Linked DNA regions of Arabidopsis thaliana. The protein of the gene in region 1 interacts with the protein of each later gene in a pairwise test. Each region holds a gene or a part of one and is shown in the gene's direction. Other genes may lie near its edges. The genes, in order: AT3G53250, LSM1B and AT3G17090.

The links.
Region 2: the proteins of AT3G53250 (region 1) and LSM1B interact in a two-hybrid assay, tested with the Arabidopsis thaliana proteins (one large-scale study listed by BioGRID).
Region 3: the proteins of AT3G53250 (region 1) and AT3G17090 interact in a two-hybrid assay, tested with the Arabidopsis thaliana proteins (one large-scale study listed by BioGRID).

What each region holds. Positions count from the first base shown.
Region 1 is NC_003074.8:19,740,685-19,744,183, forward strand, and holds AT3G53250 (SAUR-like auxin-responsive protein family), read left to right. Parts: upstream 1-2,002; 5' UTR 2,003-2,145; coding exon 2,146-2,613; 3' UTR 2,614-2,899; downstream 2,900-3,499.
Region 2 is NC_003074.8:4,665,730-4,669,877, forward strand, and holds LSM1B (Small nuclear ribonucleoprotein family protein), read left to right. Parts: upstream 1-1,578; 5' UTR 1,579-1,762; exon of another isoform or gene 1,763-1,872; 5' UTR 1,873-1,987; coding exon 1,988-2,048; intron 2,049-2,600; exon of another isoform or gene 2,601-2,620; coding exon of another isoform or gene 2,621-2,651; coding exon 2,652-2,720; intron 2,721-2,811; coding exon 2,812-2,927; intron 2,928-3,012; coding exon 3,013-3,075; intron 3,076-3,182; coding exon 3,183-3,260; 3' UTR 3,261-3,465; downstream 3,466-4,148. Other genes in the region: AT3G14075 (Mono-/di-acylglycerol lipase, N-terminal;Lipase, class 3), read right to left, coding at 10-207, 313-609; EXO70D3 (exocyst subunit exo70 family protein D3), read right to left, coding at 3,779-4,148. UniProt on the Arabidopsis thaliana protein: Component of the cytoplasmic LSM1-LSM7 complex which is involved in mRNA degradation by promoting decapping and leading to accurate 5'-3' mRNA decay.
Region 3 is NC_003074.8:5,824,861-5,830,477, forward strand, and holds AT3G17090 (Protein phosphatase 2C family protein), read left to right. Parts: upstream 1-1,725; 5' UTR 1,726-2,123; coding exon 2,124-2,451; intron 2,452-3,000; coding exon 3,001-3,368; intron 3,369-3,849; coding exon 3,850-4,086; coding exon of another isoform or gene 4,087-4,090; intron 4,091-4,245; coding exon 4,246-4,467; 3' UTR 4,468-5,040; downstream 5,041-5,617. Other genes in the region: AT3G17080 (Plant self-incompatibility protein S1 family), read left to right, coding at 479-883. UniProt on the Arabidopsis thaliana protein: Dephosphorylates and represses plasma membrane H(+)-ATPases (PM H(+)-ATPases, e.g. AHA1 and AHA2), thus influencing negatively plant growth and fitness. Promotes the apical hook maintenance of etiolated seedlings.

The sequences.
Region 1 (3,499 bases):
TAAGGGTATGGCTACCTCATCTAGGCCCTTCTTTTTTCTATTTTCTTTCAAAATAATCAAAGTCAAAATAGGGTTTGATCCCAAGAGTCGCTAATCGATCGATGATCCGAGTATGAAATAAGTACATTACTCCATCGTGACCCGATCTTATGATGTAATGTTTAAGTACACGTTCATTACAAGTTTATAACAAAAAAAAGTTACAACACCGTTTCCTTACTAACTAAAATATCTATTGAACATATCGATAACTCAACTACTCATTATTTTTTGATAAACCAAAAATATTGAAGAATATACGAGCAACTGAGTTCATAAGCCCATAGACAAGGGCAAACGAAAGCATTAGTGCTCGTGAAAATTAGATTTGTTATATTTTGACTAGTATTTGTTATGTTTGACGTTTATGAAAGAAAACCTACTCCAAAGGGCTGGCTGGCTATAAAATTCATTTCACAATTAAAATTTAGGGTATTGTTGATCCTAAATCAAAGGTTGGTAATTTCGTTAATTAAAGTTTAAATAATTCCTGGTTATCGAATGAGGTTATTTGTAAGAATTATGAGACTCAAAAGACAAACATCATAAAAGCCTCACGTTCCCACAATAAATTTCATGCAGACGAAGCCAGCCTACTTTTTTAGAAATGGCCCTCCTTCTTATCTCAAACCAGCTTGACCGTCCCGGGTCTGATGATACATCAGTTCTGTCTGGTCCAAAGGCTAGTTTAAAACTTTTAATAGATTCAAATTTTTATTTTGTTAACAAAAAGTATAAAAAAAGAGTTATAAAAACAAATATATATTAAAAAAATTTGAAGCTGATGATTATATGTTTAGTTTGTCAGGCTCAAATTTTGATTGAAATAGTTTCGAAATCAAAATCATGACAAAACATTAGAAAATGATTATAAACAAACAAAATAATACAGATGGTAAAAAAACTTAGAGAATAAATCTGAAAGACTAAAACCAAATAACCGCATAACATGAAGCATAATCGTTTGTATTAGTGTCATTGATGTGTCACCATCCAAATTCAATTCTGTACAATGCATGTTGTTAACAAAACAAAAAAATCTGAAACCAAATAGAAAATGTCTCCCAAAAGATAATCTGATTTCCAAATCCAATCCCACATAACCCAAAAAAGATAAAACCATATTATATTTTCACTAAAACCAGCTCAAACTTTCTTTTGTTCTACATTAAACAAGCTTAATTTTAGATTAGGTCCTAGTTGACACCTATTGGGATGAAAAAAACAGAACATACCATAGGCTCATCTGCATAAGTAATGTGTAAGAAAGAATGATTGCTCTTCTCATACTCAGCTATTTCGGGGGGATGAATCTGAATCCTAATGAATAGTTGATCTGCTCTGTTCTGTGCTGCTTCCCAATCATATTGGACCCTGCAAAAGCTGACACTTCTTTATCAGTCTACACTTGCAATCCATGCATAAAGAAAAATCACAAAACAAAATAAAAAGCAGACCTATTTAGATATATTATTATCATATATCTATTCATAGAACCATTAGACAAGAATGATCCTAATCAATCTTCACATGCTAATCAGCTTGAGATTTTTTTTTTTTTTTAAATGAACATTGGATTTTTATAGACAAATTAGGCTAATTCAAGAAGTCACTTCAACTAAAGCCTTGATCTTCAAGAAATCACCAAAAGAAAAGAGAGTACATTTTAGAATCATAAAATCCATGAATCATAAATCGAGATCACACTTTGTCCAAGAAGATTTAAAACCCATCACTCTTCTTCATTTCCCTTATCTTCTCTCTATCTCTCAATTCTTTCTTTTGTGGGGTCTTACAAGTCTTAGCTCCCATGATTTCAGTTACAGTCGAGAAGATGAAAATAACATTTCTTATTTGCAATTGTAATAATGCAATGCATGTTCGTACAGTTTCAGTTTTATGAGGGAAAATAACGGAACCGCACGAGTGAAAAAAAAATGGCAAACAATTCTCATAATTTAAAGCCCTCGTGATGTATCTTACCATTTATATAAAAAAATCTTGCCCATCTCATACTCAAAAAAACATTACATTTAATATCACTATGGACCTAAGATTTTTTTCATTTCTATCTAAGCTCTGTAAATCAATCATCTATATATATACATGTACTTCACCATTGTACTTCTCATCACAAAACCATCTCTATCTCTCTTTTATTCATCATTCATATTCGAAACCTCTCATTCTATACTCAAAATGAAGAACAAGTTCATAAAATCATGCGAAAACAAATTCAGAATCATGAAGAGCAAATCCATAGTTCTACCTTGTTGTACATCTTCATGCGAGAGTTGCTGCGACAAGGTTTCTTGGGGATTCAAGAAGGAAAATGAAGCAATACCTAAAGATGTTCCGAGAGGACATTTGGTAGTGTATGTTGGTGATGATTACAAGAGGTTTGTGATAAAGATGAGTTTGCTTACTCATCCAATCTTTAAAGCATTGCTTGATCAAGCGCAAGATGCTTATAATTCATCAAGACTATGGATTCCATGTGATGAGAACACTTTTCTCGATGTTGTTCGTTGCAGTGGCGCTCCTCAGCATCAGAGAAACTGCATTGGCATGTAATGTTAAGAAGGGAGGGATTCAAAAGACATATTCATTTGGTTTTGATTCATCATCCGGTTCTATGTTTCTAGAGAGAATTAATGTTGAGGATTGATTTAGATAATCTTGTACACTAATTAAGTAAGAGTTTTCGTAATATAAGTAATCATCTATCGTATTATATAAGTGAGTGTTCACTAAACATGTTACATTTTCAAATGTTTCCAAATAAACTGAAACATTAAGACTATGACAAATATCTGAAGACAAATAGCAAAACTTCCAACATTATCTGATCATGCTTCTGTTCTGTGTCATAGAAAAAAACTTGAACTTCTCTGATGTAGATATTGTCAGAAAATCAAACAACTTTCAGTTTCTAGCAATTGTCTTGACTAGCCAAAGGGAATGAGTTTGCAGCTATCTTATTCGAGTTTAGAGCAAACTTGAACTCTTTTCTGATGCAGATATTGTCAGAGAACAGACACAACTTCCAGTTTCTATCAATTGTATCTGTATTATTCTACATCATTAAAATGGATGAATGTCAAGAAGTAAGATTTTTTTGTTACTCGCAAATGAAAGATTATGACAAAGAAGATATAATGTGTTTGTTATTGCACGATAGGCTCCAAGAAATGGCCATGAGATGCATAGGATAGATATTAGTCTAATATCTAAAAAGAGAAACTCACATAAAAGGATTCGAAATGTTTAGAGAAAGGCCAGAAACATACATTTGAAGCCAAACACAAATAAATCATAAAGTCTTTTGTCAACGGTGTCAAATCCACATTTACCAACATAAAAAGTAACAAGTTAACAACGAGTTTTACACGTAAGTTTTTATATCATATATATCATACAAGGTGTGACACCATTCACATTACAATCAAAAACTCAATTC
Region 2 (4,148 bases), about 15 Mb from region 1:
AAAGTTTACCCCAGCTTTGGGTTCATGAATAAGGACATTTTCCTTTGTAAAGCCGGTCTCTTCTAAGAAAAACGGAAACGACTTCTTGGAAAAATGCCAACACAATGTCAACAAGTGCAAAAGATATTTGAGTTCAGTGGCTACTTCTGATCCTCTAAGTTCTACACTATCTTTACCACCAAAGACACGATCAACATGTAGAAGTCCCTACGGTTTTAGGTACACAATTACAAAAAGTTCAATTTTGACCACAAGATAATTAGAAAAAAATCCAGAACTTAAGACCGTTAAAACGATGAAGAGATGTTATACCTGCCTCTTGATGAGAAAATTGATCCCAAACGCAAGATCACCAATAGGCCACTTCCCAAGAGTCTCAGAGTAAGTAAAACGAAGAGTCTCAGAAAGAGTAGAAATAGTCTCCAACCAAGTTGCCGGAGCTTGAATAAGCCTATGCGAAACACGGTCAATCCTCAAAGAAGGACGAGAAGCAGAAGCTTCAGAATTCTCATCGTCAACGTCAGATGGACCAGCTATTAATTTCCGATTCAACGTGTAATATAAAAGAGCAGCTGCTCCAGCTGCTGTTGCCATAGTTGCAGTTGCCATGATCAATCTATCCCTAAAATCATCAATGAAACAAATTCGCTCAATCCAAGACGAAACTCAATCTAATAAGAATACAAAATTTAAAGACAAAATCGATTGAAACTACATTGGATGCCACAATTTCAATCTCCAGATGCGTTCTTAAGTATCTCAGACTTATTCCAGAAATCTCCAAAAACATGTAAAGCTGGAAAATTGGATATAATTTCGTACAAAGAACATTCTTTTCACCAATTAACCCCAAAGAATTCGGGATACAAAAAAAAGAAGCCATTAATAGAAAACTCTCACTTTCCTGAAACTTCTCGAATACCACAACAAACCCTACTCCTGATAACTATCGCGTCTTTTAACCGATGCAAATCATAAAATTGAATGTGATTTAGCTTAAAATTGAACAGGATCGGTGAACTATAGAAACAAAACCCTAAATCCTACCCCAAGAATAGCATCGTTAAAACACGAAGTTCTTTGTGAATCAAACCTGGAAAAATAAGACGAAATCGTGACCTTAATTTGAGGGTTTTACAGTGGAGAAGGAAGGTTAAGGTTGCTTTAGCTTATGTACGATATCTCCGGGAAGGGGAAGCTGCTTTCTCTCCGATGATGTTGTTAGCTACAAGATGCTGCAATGCAAAAGTGTGAAAACAGAATTTTTTGTTTTGCTTTAAATAAACTGCGCTACGTTTTTGTGCTAAGCGAACGCCGCGTAGTTTCGCGCCGCCGAGATCTGATGCTTACGTGGGAATATATTATTGGATGACTTACCCATAAAAGCGTTTTAACATAAATCAAGCAGTAAATAATAATAGTGTTAAATCGACTTTTTTGGTCCATAAATTAAAATTTATTCGAAACAGATATTTTATTAGCTTGGAAGATTAGTCTCATTTATTTAAGAAACATTCAGTCACAATAATTATTAGGAAATTTAACATTAAATTGGAAAGTGCTTAAAGTATTAAAGTACAACGTCTTATCTATCGAGTTAAGAAATCGTGGACATTGCTTGAAAATAATAAAAAAGGGACAGTGGACGGATTTGCTCGCTAGTTTTCTCTTCGAATTTTCCACAAACAAATTTTCTCAGCCAAAGTTCGATCGGATCTGGGTTTTATATTTTTTTGAAGAACCCGTGTCCGTCTTCGATCAGGTGTCGAAAGTCTCAATCTTTTTTAATCACTTTATCAATTTAAACCCTTTGGTCAAAACCCTAATTTAGATTTCTCTTTCCGTCTTCACTTTTTTTTTTTCCTGTCAAAGTTCGCGTTCAATAGCCAAATCTTATCTCTTCAGCTGGAATCTGACGAACATTATTATCATCGGTAGTGTTCTATAGAAAGACCGAAAGTTTTCTTCAATTTCAAAGTCAGTGGCGATGTCGTGGGCTGGTCCTGAAGAAATTTATCTTTCAACATCACTCGCTAGTTATCTCGATAGTAAATCCGTCTCTCTTTCTCTCTGTTTCACATATTTGTTGAACCGTATGAATGCATGTAGTTAAAATAATTGGCCGTGATGGCTCTGTACGCATTTGGGAGCTCAATTTTGCAAACAATTCTCTGTTTTTTTGACGTTTGATTTTGACTTCTTATTGATATATAGGCTGTACTATTTTGTGGCTGTATCCAAAGCTTGTCAATTTTGGTGTTGAATTGTCTCAAAGAGACATTCATTGATTAAGATATTGATTATTGAATCAAAGCTTTAGTTTTTTTTTAATTGGGTCAAATCTAACTGTTCATCAGTTATTGTTGTCAAGCTAAATTTTAGCATGCGTGAGAGATTAGATGTGATTGAGGTTGCTGGCTCACTCTTTATTCAACTTACGAAGTATAAACTTTAACCTTTGTTGAAATTTAATTCACTATCGGCTTTTTGATGTTGGTTCTTTGAGTTTAAAAGTCAATGATCTTCTTTTGCTGATGTTTTTGGGCTATGAGTTAGTTCTCAATCTCATTTGGCGTACCGTTTTCTTTTTTAGATATGAATCAATGTGCATCAGTTACTTATGTATGTTGGCTCTGCTCTTGATGATGCAGGAAAACTACTTGTGCTTCTTAGAGATGGTAGAAAGCTAATGGGAACACTCCGTTCCTTTGATCAATTCGGTATTCACTTTTCTTTCCATGTTTCTAGATTTACGATATTGTTGATGAGCGGGAGAGATTTGACTTTTTTTTGTTCGTTGTAAATACACAGCCAATGCGGTTCTAGAAGGTGCGTGTGAGAGGGTAATTGTTGGTGAACAATACTGTGACATTCCTTTAGGCCTCTATGTAATCCGTGGAGAGAATGTTGTTTTGATTGGTGAGCTGGTAAGACTTCTCCTTGTTTGTCTTTTCTTGCTGTGTCACCTCGTGTTTTCCAATTCACTGAGTTTGACCTTAAACTATGTATTAGGACACGGAGAGAGAAGAGCTTCCTCCACATATGATTCGCGTCTCAGAGGCAGAGATTAAAAGGGTAAGACATCGCATAACATGTTCATTTTGATTAGCCAAATTTGATTCATTTGTGATGCTGTGTGCGTGCTGATGATTTGGTTTTCGGGAATCTGTCTGTTGATGCAGGCACAAAAGGTGGAGAGGGAAGCGAGTGAGCTGAGAGGAACAATGAGGAAGAGAATGGAGTTTCTTGACTTTGATTAAACCAGATTGTATCCCCATTCATTATTGGCTTGATGCTCTGCTTTGGCTCGCAAGTTTTATGATGAGCCTTTTTGGTGTGTTGACTTAGGGGATCGACGCAATTCTTGTGTTTCATTTTGGATGAATATGACAATAAATCTGTGTACTTTTGTCTTTGGATCTATTTACCTTTTTAAGAAAAAAATGTTAAGCAATTTCTTTCTCTATTTTGGAACTTTTAAACAAGGAGCTTGCCTATGGCTACTACCAAACGGAACAAAAATGGAGCAAATGAGTAGAGGACGTCGCACATTGCAAAATTTACATGGTACTTATTGGTTCTGTGATCAATCAGGACTTTTATAAATAGAAGACATATGGCACAAACAACAACACACAAATATGTTCACCTGGAGATTATTCCACCGGGCAGGAAACCCGTGAATAAAAATTCAAAGAATGGTTCTATTTCTATGACATCCTAATGTGACTGAAAAACGAAAGAAAGAAGATAGAACTCTCGGGTTTTCGATCTTCTTTTATCGCCTCCTCAAGTGTGGTGGTGTGGTATATCCTTCGAAGAAATCTAGAACGATGGTCTCGATATCTTCAACCGAATATTTCAAATAGTTCTCAGGGTGTCTTCCACTCTCTATATGACCCCTGAACCTTCCAAGAAACGATCTATAAGCAGGGATTAGATGCTCGGATAGCGATATTCGGAGTTCTTCTCTAAGCTGAGCATCTGGAACCGACCATGTGGACTGAGTCCTGTGAACCTCTTCGAACATTGTATTGAATGCCTTAAACCTCTCTCTTAATGCACTTCTTGATACACCTGAGGAGAAACTCCCACTCACATGTAATCCTTCATCTCTCAAACTATTCAGTACTCTGACCCATGTAGCT
Region 3 (5,617 bases), about 14 Mb from region 1:
ATGACTCAAAAGAATAAGATTTACACGACAGAACTTAACCGATGTTAAGATTACTAAAACCGACGCAAACGTTTCGACGTATAAGTAAGCGTCATTTCCTAAAGTTAAGTTAATTATATTAACGTCATGCAATGTTACGACGGTTTTTAAACCGACGCTATTATGTTAAAGTCAGTTTGAAAATGACGTTAAAGTCAATAATGACCGACGTCAAATACCGTTTCTCTTGTAGCGATCATAATTTGGAAAGTGTTGATCATATAACAACATATACTTGGATATTTTTTTTAAAAAAAGTTAGTGTCAAAACAAACATGGATCATAATTTGGAAAGTGTTGACTTAAGATGTTACCTTTTTTTTTGTGCAAAAAGATGTTACCTATACAGTATAAATACTGAACAAGTTTGATTGAAATAGTTATCAACATATACTTGGATATTTTCCAGGATTAAAAAAAAAAAAAGTTTAGACGAATTATGGGTTCTCTTGAGACATGCTTACTTTTCTTTGTAATGGTTATGTTTATGAGTGCAATTATGTCTCGAGCCTCGACGAGTGTAGTGATTTATAATGATCTTGGAGGTGGTTTGCCACTACGGCACCACTGCAAATCAAGAGAGGATGATCTTGGATACCAGAGTTTAGCACCAGGTAGATCGTGGTCGTTTGGATTTACACCGGATATTTTTGGCCGGACTTTGTTTTACTGTCGTTTTAGTTGGGGAGCTGAGAGTCATATATTTGATATCTACAAACAGAGTAGAGACAAAGAATTTCAAGAGTTTGGTTGCAAAAAATGCGAATGGAAAATACGGAAAAATGGACCTTGCAAGTTTTATAAGAAGACCGGCATGTTTGATCATTGCTATTCTTGGGATTAATATCCTTATTTTATAAAACATGTCGTAACTATCAATCTATGTCTGTCTACTTCTTCTTCTACCTTTTTTTTTCTTTTTTGTATGAGGTAATTGTGTCTTAATATGATATTTTATGGTTTGACCTACAATTCGTTTTCTTTTTTTTTTACTTGTTAATGACACAATTATAGTCAAATAATTTTAGAGCGAAGTAACAAAACATTATAAGAATATAATGTGAACTACAATGAGCTTTTCTTTTATGCTTAACGTTCATTTTTTAACAAAAAAAAAGAATTATAAATAAATAGAGAACAAGTGTTGATCGAAAGAACAACTATGTAAATTATACATTTGTGCTTAACTAAACGCATATCGATTAGAGTCCCATTTCATGACCCCGAAACTCAATGAGTCAAACGTAGTGCACAATCTAGTGTAATTTAAAACCAGAAAAAAAAAAAAACTAGTATAATTCGACATAACCAAATGGCATAGTTAAACGCATGTTGGTGAATGGAGGAAACTAAACCCGCGTGGGAAGGCTTTTCTCGAGTAGTGGAAGTGAAATATTATCTTAAAACATATACTTTCAATGACATAAATTGGTGAAGATTTACTCCCATAAGTGAAATGCATTACATCTAGAAACTTATCTCTTTTATATTTATTTCCGATTTAGCAAAAGAAGTAAGTAGAAAGTCTATTGAGTCAAACCCAAATTTTAAAAAAAATAATGCAAAGAACTTGCATATAAATATTTTACATTATAATTTGTATTAAATTTTGATTTAGTAAACATATATAACAAAATTTTCATCTTTCTTTTAATAATATAGTTTTTAGTTTGTTAGATTTTTTTTTTTTAATTTGGGCAACACAACAGTTGTGTAATAGTATAGGCAAAGAAAATGGTCGGACAGCTAAGGGAAGATCGCTCTCTCCTCATCAGACAAAAAATTACAAGCGAGAATTTCTTTGTTCCTTTACGACCGGACAAGACACGTCCGTCATCGTCTTCTACTACTTTCTATCTTACGCCTCTCCCCTTATCCTACGCCAAAACATCTTATCCTGCGCATCATCCCTTCCATTAAGACCTAGGGTTTTCTCTCTCTCCCATCATTCTCTTCTCCCGATCTCATTTCCATTACCCAATCCCGCTCCTTTTCTCTGATTTTGAATCGAACCCTTAATACCCAGAAATCTCACGGTTCCGAGGAGTGGGTTTTTGGGGGTTAGGGTTTTCGAGAGATGTTGAATGTCAGGTTCATTGATGAATCTGTTTTCTCTCTGCTTCAAGCCATTCGGGCACGTCTGTGATAATTCCGAAGCTGGATCGGGTGGTGGTGGTGGCGTTTCTGGTGGAACCGGCGGTGAAGGCAAAGACGGATTGCTTTGGTTCCGTGATCTCGGTAAATATTGCGGCGGAGATTTCTCCATGGCTGTGATTCAAGCCAATCAGGTTCTTGAAGATCAGAGCCAGGTCGAATCCGGTAATTTTGGGACTTTTGTTGGTGTTTACGATGGTCATGGTGGTCCTGAAGCTGCTCGTTATGTCTGTGATCATCTCTTTAACCATTTTCGAGGTTCGTAATCCGATTCTTCATTGACACAGTGATTCGTCATTTTGACATTCGAGCTTGAGTGTTTTGAATTGGTTTTTTGGGGAAATACATATTTTAGATGAATCCGTTGACTTAATTCTGAACTTTTTGTTCAAATCTTGGTGATGAAGATGGTGATTGGTCAACAAAGTTAGGTACTTTGACTTTTTAATCTCGTTGGGGTATAATTAGGTTCCCATTAAGCTAAATGCAAGTTTAGAGCTACAGTCTTTGCATTTAAAAACTGTGTTTATTGACTTCAGAAATAGTAAAACTTTAGATATGAGTATGCTCTTTGATATATAGGAGTATTTGTAATGCAGTTTGATATATAGGAGGACTCTTTGCATTTCGCATTCCTGGTTCTTTGAGATTGTTCTTTGCCATTTAGATAAGGGTCCCTGGCTTTTGCATTGATGGTGGAGTGTCATGAATATTACCAGGCTTAAGCAAACTAGGAGTGCACTGTAATTATGAAAGGAGGTTGAGCCTCTCTTATGTTTTGATTGCTCAGGCTTTATGGTTATGCAGAAATATCAGCGGAAACACAAGGAGTTGTGACGAGAGAGACGATAGAAAGAGCCTTTCATGCGACAGAAGAAGGATTCGCTTCCATTGTGTCAGAGCTGTGGCAAGAAATACCAAATTTGGCAACTGTTGGCACTTGTTGTTTGGTTGGAGTGATATATCAAAATACTCTTTTTGTGGCAAGTCTTGGAGATTCACGGGTTGTTCTTGGAAAGAAAGGCAACTGTGGCGGACTCTCTGCTATTCAGCTGTCGACTGAACACAATGCTAACAATGAAGATATTCGTTGGGAACTCAAGGACTTACATCCTGATGACCCGCAGATCGTTGTGTTCAGGCATGGAGTTTGGAGAGTTAAGGGCATCATTCAGGTAGTTTCTCATTCTCCTGCCATCCCTTGTGATGTTAATTTTCCAAAAGAAAAATGTAAAATTAGTCACTTAGACATAACTAGGTTCCTTGTTGTGTTAACTCTCTTTGGTTTCGCAAACTTTGACATATCTACCTTATGCTTGTTTCGGAAGAGCTAAATCATTTTTCTTCTCTCTTTTTTAGTCTTTGAGCGGTTTGGCCTTTCTTATAAGCTATAGAAAAGTTCATTAGAGGTCTGAGAAGTACAAATCTTTAAAAAGTTTTGAGAATTAGCAAGTAATGAGGTAGTGCATAAGCAGAATTAGCAAGTAATGGGTTTCTGATGAACTCCATACATATGTACTGAACAAGCTAAATATATGTCTTACGCTCTTTGTGATGTCTAGTTACCAATAATTAATCATCTCTACCATGCAGCTCTTAAGACTTTCTGATGATTCCCTGTATTTACTGTTCAACTTTGATTCGCTGTTTATATAGGTATCGAGGTCTATAGGAGACATGTACATGAAACGGCCCGAATTTAACAAGGAGCCAATCAGTCAAAAGTTCAGAATTGCAGAGCCAATGAAAAGACCCTTGATGTCTGCAACACCAACAATACTCTCTCATCCTCTGCACCCTAATGATTCGTTTCTCATTTTTGCATCTGATGGTCTTTGGGAGCATTTGACTAACGAAAAAGCAGTTGAGATTGTTCATAACCATCCCCGTGCTGTAAGTTTCTACTTTGATTTCTCTCTTAGATGGCGTTTTTGGTCTAGATAAGTTTTAGATTGCAGTTTTAAGCGAGTCAAGTCACAAGAATCCTCATTATTACAAATTCGTTAAATATATAAATGATTTCTTGCATTGTGTGTTTCTCTCTATGTTCAGGGAAGCGCAAAGAGACTGATAAAGGCGGCTCTTCACGAGGCAGCGAGGAAACGTGAGATGAGATATTCAGATCTAAGGAAGATTGACAAGAAAGTGAGACGACATTTTCATGATGACATCACGGTTATAGTGGTGTTCTTGAACCATGACCTCATATCGAGAGGCCACATCAACTCAACCCAAGACACAACAGTCTCTATACGGAGTGCTCTTGAACACTGAGAATCCCAAACATTTTACAACAATGTTTCTTCTTACTTGATTATATGACTTTTGCCTAGAATGAATAAAAAAAAGGCAACATATGGAAAAAACCAAAAATGAAAAAAACAACATCATTATCGTACGTAATGAGTTCTCTCTTGTATTAAGCGGCTATGTTTGACTTTTGGTGTTTCTCTTCAAAGTTCTGATGAGTTCCAAGTCTTTTACTTCTTGCCGTTCGTCAAAAGTATGTAATGTAACATAGCCGTGTAACCATACTATTCTCGAATGTAACATCAAGTCTCTAATCAAAATTGTTTTGGTAACTTATAATTATTCTTCATTCCCGAACAGTGGTTATTCTTCAACATTTCTAGGTTTAACTTTATTGATCAAAAAAGATTTTAAGATGCTCTTGGATTACTGTTTCGATATTTATGTGCCACAGTTGTCAACTCTTCATACTATCTCAAATTTGCGGTTTCGGTGAAATACTTAATTTTCGTACGGATTTGATTTGGAGAACAAAGTCGTGGAGCAACGTTTGGCTTCAACATTTTACTTATGCAAGACTTAAATGTTAGTTCTGATTAAATGGATTCATGGACCTTTTCTAAAAAATATCAAATACAATTCCATAAATCTATAAAGTTCTTGTTAATACTAAAACCTTTGAGAGTACTAATGAAAGAAAAATCAGATTAAGCTTTCTAGGCTGCATTATGCATCAAAAAGAAGTTGAATGTCAATCAACAACTCAGAGCCCAGTGCATATTCATCATCTTTTCCTTCTTAGACCCTCAACAATTATTCTAGCCAGATAAAAAAATTGAAACAGATACAAAAAATTATAAGGATCCTCAGAGTAAAAATGCTTATAGCTTTTCATCAATAAAAAATCAGGTCTCAAAGATTTCATGCCATCATAGGATCCTTCAATAAGCTTTTTTAAAAAAGAAACGATAACTGATTAGGATATAGCACGAGCTTATTCGCTATGCCTGGTTAAACATAGACGAAGCGACTCAACGCCCCTGCAATAATCTATCGCCTCACGAATAAAATCGATGAAAGAATCATCCCGTAGATATTGAATACTCTACAGGAAATTCAATCTGAGAGGCGAATCCAATCAGCTACAAAACGATTCTAAAAGATCATATACAAA